Arabidopsis thaliana: one gene and its partners. The protein of the gene in region 2 interacts with the protein of the main gene of each other region in a biochemical or structural test. Each region holds a gene or a part of one and is shown on either strand. Other genes may lie near its edges.

The links.
Region 1: the proteins of FH4 (region 2) and PRF3 form a complex in vitro, tested with the Arabidopsis thaliana proteins (one study listed by BioGRID).
Region 3: the proteins of FH4 (region 2) and PFN2 form a complex in vitro, tested with the Arabidopsis thaliana proteins (one study listed by BioGRID).

What each region holds. Positions count from the first base shown.
Region 1 is NC_003076.8:22,909,335-22,912,272, reverse strand, and holds PRF3 (profilin), read left to right. Parts: upstream 1-1,562; coding exon 1,563-1,685; intron 1,686-2,052; coding exon 2,053-2,190; coding exon of another isoform or gene 2,191-2,256; coding exon 2,257-2,391; downstream 2,392-2,938. Other genes in the region: AT5G56590 (O-Glycosyl hydrolases family 17 protein), read right to left, coding at 2,837-2,938. UniProt on the Arabidopsis thaliana protein: Binds to actin monomers and regulates the organization of the actin cytoskeleton. Can increase the critical concentration (Cc) of actin assembly in vitro.
Region 2 is NC_003070.9:8,547,532-8,552,580, reverse strand, and holds FH4 (formin homologue 4), read right to left. Parts: upstream 3,391-5,049; 5' UTR 3,064-3,390; coding exon 2,045-3,063; intron 1,943-2,044; coding exon 1,369-1,942; coding exon of another isoform or gene 671-1,368; 3' UTR 515-670; downstream 1-514. UniProt on the Arabidopsis thaliana protein: Might be involved in the organization and polarity of the actin cytoskeleton.
Region 3 is NC_003075.7:14,448,303-14,451,941, forward strand, and holds PFN2 (profilin 2), read left to right. Parts: upstream 1-1,585; 5' UTR 1,586-1,832; coding exon 1,833-1,955; intron 1,956-2,433; coding exon 2,434-2,571; intron 2,572-2,682; coding exon 2,683-2,817; 3' UTR 2,818-3,092; downstream 3,093-3,639. Other genes in the region: PRF4 (profilin 4), read left to right, coding at 31-165; AT4G29360 (O-Glycosyl hydrolases family 17 protein), read right to left, coding at 3,260-3,416, 3,507-3,549. UniProt on the Arabidopsis thaliana protein: Binds to actin monomers and regulates the organization of the actin cytoskeleton. At high concentrations, profilin prevents the polymerization of actin, whereas it enhances it at low concentrations.

The sequences.
Region 1 (2,938 bases), on a different chromosome or scaffold from region 2:
TCATTCATAAAAATTTCTATAAGTGATTATACCTTTAAATTAAGTTATTTATCAATCAATTTATTTCATAAAATAATCAAATATTATATATTAATATAATTTTAATGCAATATTGTAAAACCAATCAGAATAAAACTACTTTGTGCAAAATCTGGATTTTACATATATCTTGACAAAACTTTTATTTAGGGTAATATGAATTCGTGCAAGATTTGGGTAAAATGATTTCGTGCAAAATTACGACAAAACCATGAACAATTTTTTTTTAGATACCACAAAGATTTAGAGAAAAGAATCTTATAAAAAGAAAAATTATCTTGCAACGTTTTTAGTAAAAATAATAATAACACAATCAAATATATGGAAATCTTATAAAAAGATTTAGATAATAATAACACAAAGATTTAGATATATGGAATCTTATAAAAAGAAAAATTATCTTGAAATGTTTTTAGTAAAAATAATAATAACACAATCAAATATATGAAAATCAAATATTTAATATGGAAAAGTCAATATCTAAAAGTGATAAGATATGTATAACGTTTTAATCAAAGGAGTTAAATAAGGGATATCATATCAATCATAAATGGATTTTAGACAATATAATATTTATAAAATGATATTGAATATAGATGCAACTATTCAAAACTGGAATGCTAAAACATTAATACATGCTTGCATCACCCACCACCGGGTTATGAATAGTTACAAAGTTAGTTATATAATTATAAAATTGGTAATTTATATATTCAATATTGTAATAGTAAATCACAAAAATTAACAATTAACAAGCATGATTCTCTTCTTTAACGATTTTCTTTGTAGAATCATTGAATCATGCGATAGTAATTATAGAAACAAATGATAAGCATTATTCTCTTCTTTATTGAATCATTGAAAACATGCTTTTACCGATCTATACTATAATCATCGATCGGCTCATATTGTTTTGTTTCAATAATAGAAAATAAGTACTATGAACCATGAGTCGATAAGTAAACATGGTTCTTAAAAAAAATGTAAGAATCTCTATATCTACCTTTTAGAACGTGCTGATAACGTGTTATAACCAGAGAAAGAGATAAAAGAAATGAGTGTGTTATTCCATTGAGATAAATGGTTCTTTATATAGGAGTACAAAAAAAAGATAAAACCCTAAAAACATCTAGATGATGGGTTTAGATGAGGGCCTTATAATGGACATCCATCTTTATTCATAACAAAAATCAATTATAATGAAAATCGAAACATTTGTTTTTTTTTAGGAAAAGACCATATTTAATTAAATGTTTTGGTTTTCCTTAAATAAGTTTTCTATTTTTTTATTTATTTCCTCCCTTTTCATTATAACTGGTTGATTTTCTAATACAATTTTCCTCTTTAGAAACTATTAAAAAGAGCTGTGTCTGGCACGTGTCAATCATGTATAAAACAATATATTTGCGTAAATGCCATTGCCACACACTCACTCACTCGTAGTTTCGACGCTATCTCTAGAACATTCCGATAAACCACAAAGAAGAAGCAGAGCAAAAGTAAAGAAGAAGAAGAAAACAAACATGTCGTGGCAGACTTACGTCGACGATCACTTAATGTGCGATGTTGCAGGCAACCGCCTCACCGCCGCCGCAATTCTCGGCCAAGACGGTAGCGTCTGGGCTCAGAGCAACAATTTTCCTCAGGTTAGGGTTTATTTCTATACCGACTACTCAATTCTTATCATCTTGCTGTTTCTGGTTTGGTTCTATGTTGAAATCTGCAACCTTTGGTTTTGTTTAGCTACTAAACCACCAAAATTCAGCAATTTTCAATGTTTGGTTTTGATTTTCTGATTCATATGTTCTTGAGGTTATAGAGTGCAAAAGATGCATTAGAAGAAGTTCGAATCACAAGTTTAAAGCTCTTTTAAGAAGAAAGTTTTGACCTTTGGAAATAGACAAGTTCTTTGTACTGGTTATGTTGTTCATAAGTTATTAAGTTGCTTTCATGAGATGTTTAAGAGAGACTGAATTTGTTTCTCTTATAGTTTTTGTATTGTTGTTGTTTTAGGTGAAGCCTGAGGAAATTCAGGGCATCAAAGACGATTTTACTACACCTGGAACACTTGCCCCAACAGGATTGTTCCTTGGTGGTAACAAGTACATGGTAATCCAAGGAGAGCCTAATGCCGTCATTCGAGGAAAGAAGGTAACTAGACTGTTTGAATATTGTTTGATTTTTGATGAACTGTTGTTGATTTTGCTTCCATTGTAGGGAGCTGGTGGTGTTACCATCAAGAAGACCACCTTAGCTTTGGTATTTGGTATCTATGATGAACCAATGACTCCTGGACAATGCAATATGGTTGTGGAGAATCTCGGTGAGTACCTGATTGAATCGGGGCTCTGAAACTTAAGCTGCTACTATATTCATATTGCTTTATGTAATCTTCTAGTTGTGTCGTGAGAGAAAAACTATTCGATAATCCGACTGTGTATTACCTACCTTGTGATGGATCTTGGGGTTGTATGATTATTTCTAAAACAATATAGTATTGTCTACATTTGTGTCGAGTTGAAATATTTAATGAATGGCAGTGTGGTACCATAGCTTTAGAGTTCATTATTGGTTATGCAGATTGAGATTTTTGTGTATTATAGTGAGGATGATTAAGATCACAAGACTGTGGTTACACAATTGATATCAGACAAGTTTTCAGATAGAATGTCTGTACAACGATTCCACTGCAGGAAGAAAGACAAAATCGTTAGACGGTGTCACAATTTCTAGACCAAACTATTCAGGAACAAATTTTGCTTTTTCTTGCTATTGCTACATTTCTTTCAGATTTCGGTTACAGTGCCTGTGAATTCATAGTTTGCAAACTGAAGAACAACGAGATCATGAGACAGAGTTTCAAAATCCATTGGAGTAGTTCGTTTCCACGTGGAGTTGA
Region 2 (5,049 bases):
TTGACCAGCTAGCTGTGAATATGGTGGACTCGTCAAGCAGAATAAGCCATCGTGGTTAAGATCTGCACCACCCTCTGAGTACTAATGTTGTTAAACCATAGAAAATCAGCAGAATATTTTTTGCTTTTCTTGTTTTGTTCTTTCCTGATGTAAATATTGGTTGCGACTTGTTAGAATGACTTCTTTTTTTTTTACTGTACCAAACAATATTCAAATCAACAACCTTTCTTTGTCTATTCAAAGTCTTGACTTCGTGGTCTGTCTTTATCAAGTCTAAAACTAAAAATTCAGGAATTTACGACATGGCAAGAAATGAAAAACAATAGAATAATCATTAGCAATCTTGACCTAGACTGCTTCTGAGAAATTTGTAAAAGGGCTGAATTTGTTTCATCCATCAGATTTTAGGTTGGTGAAAATGTAACCAAAGATCCTAAAACTGATTCATAATATGAATTAGTGCAAATTGCAATACTCTGTTCTTATGAACACTATGCAGAAAAATACCTCGGAGTCTCGGACTATCAAATCTTATTAACACTTCAAAAAGTTTTTTTTGTAGGAAAAAAATATAATCAAATACCCCAAACGATTCTATTATTTACAACCAAGCAAATCATTTCTCCTCTAAACAATATGATCATCAAGATTAAAAATGGTCTTTGCAAACTCACATATCGGAATCTGATCCACCCGAATCACTTCTTGATCTATCCGACATGAAATTCGGAGGCAAAACCGGAAACTTAACCGCATTCCTCTGCTGAGTACTCCCCATTGATGACCTCCTCTGCAAATTCCTTGCGATCTCTACGCAAACTTTATCAACCATTGCAAGAAAATCTCTAACAATAACAAACAAATGAAGTGGATTCTTTCCTTTCACAGCTCCTGCTTGATAATACTCTGTTGTTCTCTTCACAAGCTCCAACACTTTCTTCTCTTCTTCTTTCGCTAACTTCACTTCTTCCTCAACCGAATCAAGAAACTCATTCATCTTCTTCACAAACCTCACTCCTTCTTTGTTATCTCCTTCGCTCTGCGCTAACACTCGTCTAGCATCTTTCGCTCTAGACGTAAGAGCCAAGCACGTTGCAGCAACAGTGTCATAGTCTACAGCTGCAGCTTTCTTAACATTGGTGAACTCAGAGCTTAACCCTCCAACAACAGGTAAACCGAGTCTAAGATACTCTTTCTCTTGTTCTTCCTTCGATATAACCTCGGAGATCGAACTGCTGCTACTACGGCTAAAGCTACGGTTAGTCCTTCGGTTAAGCACGCATCGCTTCCCTTCAGACCTAACCACTTCTTCCACAACAAAGTTAAGCAAAGTCGTCTTCCCATCAACACTCTTAACATCAGAAAGTTTCAAAAGCGCGGTGAGATTAAAAGCTTGAGCATCTCTCTAGCTGTTCCTGCATTCATTCTGTTTCCAGATTTCAGAATCGCTTCCAATAGCTTCACGAACAAGCCACGTGACCTAAGCTCTGTACAAGCCAAATCCAACGTCTGAAGATTTTTGTTATGGTTTGAGATCTCTGGATAGTAATTAGCTCTAAAGAGTAACGCATTAAGACGAGTAAACGCACAAGGCACCGCCTTTAGAAGATGAAACAGAAACGATTCAGCGTCTGCGAGCATTTTCGTATCACCGTCGAATTGGAGAATCGCTGATTGTTCTTCTTTCGTTGGAGCTATTCTAGAGAGTCTCTCTAGTGTATCTGGATGAAAATCATGACCTTCCATTAACGATTCCACAAGCTCGTCACGAGTCATTCCTAAGGATTTGAGCACAATTGCTGTGTTCTGTGACTTTCTCGGGTCAAGTATGAAAATCTGGGCCGGTGAGGCTGAGCTAGGCTTTTTATCACCGCCGTCGTCTGGAGATTTCTTTCCGACCGCCACGTAGCCGAACAGAGCCTCCATTAGATCGCCATCGAAACTGTAGGAAGAAGAAGAAGAAACCAAATTTGTAAAGTTGGCATTTTTATCTGACTAAACCCTTCAAATTGAAAGAAACGATTAGGGTTCTTATGGATCTTACCTGAAAGAGCCACGATCGATTTTGTCCCAAACCATGGAATGATCAGAATCAGGATTGACTTTATCCCAATGTAAAGGCTTAAGCTTTACCTGACCATTTGAACTTTCCCCTGAAGATGATCCTCTAGGAGCCGGTGGTGGTTTTTTTGAAGCCGATGATGACAAAGCCGCCGTCTTTTTCAACGGTGGAGGTGGCGGCGGAGATGGACCATTATTCTTAAGCTTAGGAGGAGGAGGAGGTGGTGGTGTTGCACTCTGCTTCACCGGAATTGGCGGTGGTGGAGGCGGTGGTGGAGTTGGATCTGGTTTGACGAATTCAAAAGAATCAGTCTTGACATGAGGAGGATGAGTGGTGGTGGCATTTCGGTAATTGTCGTTGTGAATTACACTATGAGAAGTCGAAGATCTTCCTCTGAGAAGAGGAGTCTCCGTCACCGGTCCAGATTTCTTCTTACTCTTCGAATAAATCACATTCTTCTCTTCATCGTCTCCGTGGATGATCTCTTTCCTAAAGCTTCCACCTTTATTATCTCTTTGACTCTGTTGTAACTTTCTCCAATACAACACATCGAGACCATTCTCATCTAGAATCAAACCCTTTACGTTTCCGCCGAATCGAGTAAACCCTTCACGAGCTAAAGCCGCTTCCGCCAACGGAGGAACCGGTGGTTGAAGGGTGTTGTCAACGCCACCGACTCTGTTTCTCCTCCGCCTACATTTATGGACGAGGAAGAAGAACACGGCTGCTACAAGTAAAGTGCTTGCTGCTGTTATAAGCACAGCCCTCAAGATATTTCCTCTGTCTGAATCCGATGACGAAGATGATGGGTTTTGCGGCGGCGATAGAACCGGAGATTGAACTGGAGGGGTGATTGTGTCATTTGGGAAAAATGTTTCGATGTTTCGAGGAGAATCGGATTGAGAAAAGGATTGATTAGGGAAAAAGAGGATTAGGGTTAAGAAAACTAGGGTTAGATGAGGAAGAAACGGTGGCCATGGCTGCATCAACATGGCAGCCATGGAAGATTAACTCATTTGTTTAGAGAATTGAGGAATCAATGGAAAAAAGGTAACGTCTTTTGGTTTTGTTTGTTTCAATTTCGGTTTTTTAGGAAAATCTGTAAAAGGAAGTAAATCTGTATATTGAAATGTTGTTTCTTTAATTGTTGGGTTTTGAGTTTTGTTTGAGACTTTTGAGGGTTTTTGGTATTTTGGGTTGTTGTTGACGTCGTCGCCTGTAAGAGCAGAGTAGTTGTTGATCTGTTCGCTTATTCTCTGTAAGGAATTGTGTCGAATTACGAAAATAACCTTCGTAGTGGAGCGAAAGATATATATAGTAAAGAAGGATGTTTTAGTCTTTGCACGAGATTTTCAAAATCTTCCTCTCAAAGACTTCAGTGCTTAGTCTTGTTGTGCCGTGAACTAAGTTTTGTCTGGTGGGGTTGACCTTATCTTTGACTTGGTTATTTGTAATAATATTGGTTTTTAAGATTAAAGTAAAACTGTAGAAAAAAATCGTGAATAGTGTTTTAATTTGTCAGACAGACTCAACTGCTACCGGATCTTTCGAGCAATATATAAATATATGATGGTGGATTACCAAATTGAATTGGTAATACATGTTGAAAAACTTTAAAACAAAAGTTGAAAATACTATCACAAAACGTATGAATTAGAAGAAATATGAACCAAGTTTTTTCTTGGAAAAATGGGAAGGTGTGAACGTATGAGTGTGTGTAATTTGATAAGCTACGATGAAGGAAACAACCCCTAAAATTCGTAATTAAATGGTAATTTAATGCTTAATGGCCCCTCGATAGTTATTAATGCTCAACGCGTTATTACACTCGTCGAACGAAACTAAATTGTTATTGAATTCAACAAGTCTTCTACTGAAGCGAAATTGCAAAATTAAACCCGATTTTGTGTTTCTATTTTTTTTTGTTTTCTTCGACGAAACTTGTCTACCGGTCAACTCCATCATTCCCAACCAAACCGTTTTCTTCGTCAAGGCGGATGTGCCTGCTTCTTCTTAGTCAAATTTGTAGACTTTTTTTGTTGCCTCTCGATTCTCAGAAATTCTAAAATCAACTTTTAAAGTCTAGAATATATGATGAATTGTGACTATAGACTATAATTAATTGGTATGTTTTTATATAAGCGAGATAATGAATCTTTTTCCGTCCACATATAATTATATAAAACTAGGCTTTACCAACTACATATTCAATCGGAAATTCCTAAAAGCAAATTCTCTCTATTTTGTTATCCTCTTTTACAATTTTCTCTATGAAAAAATAAAAGGATTTTATCTTTGTCTCGAACGTTAAAGAGATTTTAAAAGGCCGTCTGAATGATCTTGACTTGAGTCGTCAAGAACTAGAATTGGTATTGAACTAATGATAACTGGAGTCATGCATGAGAGACCAAAAGTTTCAGAACCCTAATTGGAGTCACGGAAGGTTCCACATCGACCGCTTTGTTTCCTCAATTTCTTTCTTAACACGTCTTCTTCTTGACTTCTTGTATTGATACGGACCAAACATGGCCAATATTTAAGTTTACACGGCAAGTAAGACTACTCGTCCCACGTTTACATGTTTGCAGAGGAGGAAGTAAAAAATATATTTAAAAAAATTTCTTTTTGACAAAATGAATGGGCCTCTATAATAAGCTCATATACAATTTGAGCTTAAGCCTAAATTGGTTCGACGCACTTTCATGACAAAATGTTCCAATTTCCAAATCATTTATTCTTTATCTTTGACTGTCCTTTATTAATTTCCAACTTACGAGAAGAGAAAGAATTTTGAAGAGTCTGATAGTATCATTTAATCATTTATGCATGGTTCAACTATAAATTGATCTATCATGCTAGAAGCATTTCAGCCCCACCTAAAAACCAGAAAGATATTTTGTAATAATTTCATATTTAAGCTGAGTTTATAAATATCGTGAAAATGTTGAAATGGGGATGTTTCTTGGTGATCGTATCATGTTTTTCAA
Region 3 (3,639 bases), on a different chromosome or scaffold from region 2:
TCTAATTCAATATATGCTTCTTTCAATTAGGGAGCAGGAGGCATAACGATAAAGAAAACAGGACAGTCATGTGTGTTTGGGATCTATGAAGAGCCAGTGACACCAGGACAGTGCAACATGGTCGTCGAGAGGTTGGGTGATTACCTCCTCGAACAGGGTCTCTAGAATCTTCTTACAATGTTCCACCACCTACATTTTTTTATAAGGCCATTGTTTCTCCTATTTTTTTCCTTTGGGTGATTTGCATCTCTTTCTCTAATTGATATTATAAGTTTTGGGCTAATGGACCTTCCTGGTTTCTCCCCATAGCAAACTTTTAAGAAAGCTGAAGCCTAAAAGGCTTTTACTCTCTTTGCCTTGGTTTCTTATTTATATGCATGTTTTAGTTGTTTTCTCTTTGCTTTTTTGTCAATTGCATTCTGTCTACTACACTAAATATTAACGTATTGATTGAGAAAATTGCATTATCATAATCTATAGAAAATTGTATGTAGTGTAGTAGAGACATTAATCTCACAATACTAAAAACACTTTCAAAATTTACACGAGCATTTAACACATACATCAACACTCATTATTTACAACAGAAGAAAAAACTGATACGCAACGCAATCTTTCCTAGTGATTTCATTCGTAAGAAAGAAAAAATGAACATGAGAAAGAAAAATGGCAACAGGCAGAATTCATTCATCAACTTTAATCTTTAATAGGAAAGTAATAATAGTACAATTATGTCGGAAAATCATTCCCATCCCATCTGTCTTTATTATGTGCTAATCTAACAGCTCATCGAGAAATCGAATCTCAGTCTTTTTTCCCTATTATTACATTATCACTTAGATATAAGGAAATTTTTGTTATCTCACAATATTCACTTTGAATCAATACGATGCACATATAACAAATTAACAATAGCAAGTGATTGTTTCTCTTCAATAACTCAAAAACATTTTTTTTTTTTTTGGAATAGAAAAAGGTTTATTAACCATCTTTCTAAATTTTGGGTAATTAAGAAACATTTATTGACAATGACATTAGGAAAAGAGAACATTAATTGTAAAGGGTGGACCTAAATAATTGGAATATTTTGGTGTATGGCACACAATGCAAGAGCATATCCACCCTGTAAACAAATTATGGCCATACTTCGATCTCTTTTCTTTGATTTTGGAAATTAAATTCTCTAGTATTGTTTTTTTTAGAAAAGAAAAAAAAACTTTTGTATTGTTTATTTATGTAAACTTCATTTGTTCCAATAAAATCTAAAACGTTTTCACATTTGGTTTGACAATTTTATTTACACAAATTTTCAATATACTTTTAGCGTTAGATCAAATTATACCATGCAAGAATTATATGCATTTTCTATATGATCTTGTTTAAAAATAAAAACTGTAGAAATAATGTAAAACCCGAGAAATGAAATTGTTAATAGATTAAAAAAATCATTTCTTTTAACCGGATGCAAATTTTAATCATTTTAAAAATATTTTCTTTTGATTATCATTTTAAAATTATTTATCGACTTTCACACAAAACATTTTGAATTTCATTTGTATCTACTTTTTTTTTTTTTTTGGTATTTCTTTTAGCTGTCTTTATCAAATTCAGTAAATAAATAAAATATGTATTTTAATGGAATTTTTTGCAGTAGAAATTAAAAAAGAGTTTTTTTTTATTGGAAGGCTAAATCGTGTTATTAATAATTTAAGCTCAAAGGTTGTCCAAGTCTACAAACCAAAAGCACGCTACAGAAGAAGAGGAAGAAGAAGAAGAAGCAGAGACAACAAGAAGAAGAAGAAACAGTCTCATCTCGCCGGAGAAGAAGAAAGATGTCGTGGCAATCATACGTCGATGACCATCTCATGTGCGAGGTCGAAGGCAACCACCTCACACACGCCGCCATCTTCGGCCAAGACGGCAGTGTCTGGGCTCAGAGCTCAGCTTTCCCTCAGGTTTTTCTTCCTTCTTCTTCGCGTTTCTTCCGATCCTCTGTCTCAAATAAGTTCATCGATCTGATTCAATCGTCTGATTTAGGTTTATTCCTTGTGATCCGATCTGAGGAAACTTGGATCTGGTTTTGATTTGCTAGCTTCTGACTTGTTCTCTCTGACAATCTGATTTTCTCAGTGATTGATTGGAGTTTGATTCTGAGATTTTCATGGTTTCAGTAGTCAAATCTTGTCTATAGGTGTTTTGCTTGGCACAGAATCTTATCTCCTTTCAATTCATCAAATGATAAAACTTTTCACCAAATTCTTCAAAATTTGGTATTTTACTTGAATTTGAGATCTTAGGGTCATTGCATATGAATTGTCACCTCTGCTCAGTATTGTATAAACCATGTAAAGGATCTGTTGTATTGGTAGTAGTATCATTGCTCAGTCGGTTGAAGCTAATTGCCTACTTTGTTGTTCTTGTTCATGTATTTAGTTGAAGCCTGCAGAGATAGCAGGAATCAACAAAGACTTTGAAGAAGCCGGACATCTTGCCCCAACCGGGCTATTCCTTGGCGGTGAGAAGTACATGGTTGTCCAAGGTGAGGCTGGAGCCGTCATCCGAGGGAAAAAGGTAACATTTTTCATTCGAGAAGACTCTTTTTTTGTGGTTTTGATTGAGATAATGAATCAAAGGATCAGTCTTTTAGATCAGCAAGTTAAAGTCCATGCTTACTTCTTGCAGGGACCTGGTGGAGTCACTATCAAGAAGACTACTCAAGCTCTAGTCTTTGGTATCTATGATGAACCGATGACCGGAGGGCAATGCAACTTGGTCGTGGAGAGGCTCGGCGATTACCTTATCGAGTCTGGTCTCTAAGTTCACTCAAAGTGCTTCAAACAAATTTCATTTTTCGGGTTCTTTCTTCACTAGAGAAGCACCCTTCTGCCATGTATTGTGATTTGATTGTTGTTGTGCATCAAACAAAGTTATTATACTCTTAAAAAGAACAAAGAAACAATCATATTTGTTATGGTTTTGATCCTCTCCTATGATGGCTCTTATGTTTTTCTCTTGTACTGTATTTCGTAATGTATAATTACGCTTTGGAATAAAAATTTGAGTTTGTGATCATTTGTTCTCGATCAGCTCATAAAAATTTTCTAGGTTCAGTCACAAATACATCACCAAGCTTGACATTTCGGTTACGTGGTGAAAGAAATTACCAAGTTCAACAGTTGGGCTAAATTCTAGTTTAAGTTCGCTCACTACTCAAAACTTCATACAAAAGAAGGCGACAGTGCATTCATGTACACACTTGTCACCAAATACTCGAACAAACTACAAAACACGGCAACAAAACAGAGACTGCAACCACCATTTGTCTGAATGCTTCATTGGTTGACGAAGGCGAAGCCAAGGGGGAATCAATGGCAGTTATGTTTCCAGTGATATTACCCGCCATTGTTCTGTTGAATCTGCAAAAGTAACAACAACAACATCAGCAAGTAAGATTCGTTTTTCCAGTTCGATAGATTCAAGATTGAGTAATCAGAGAGAGAAGTCACCCGTCGGTAGCCGGAGCAATCATGTACAAACAGTTACCATAACCTGCAATTTCGAGAGCTCAAATGAGACTACTATGGCTTCACATTACTCTTAATGGATGTGTTTTGGAAAGTGTATGTATACAAATACTTA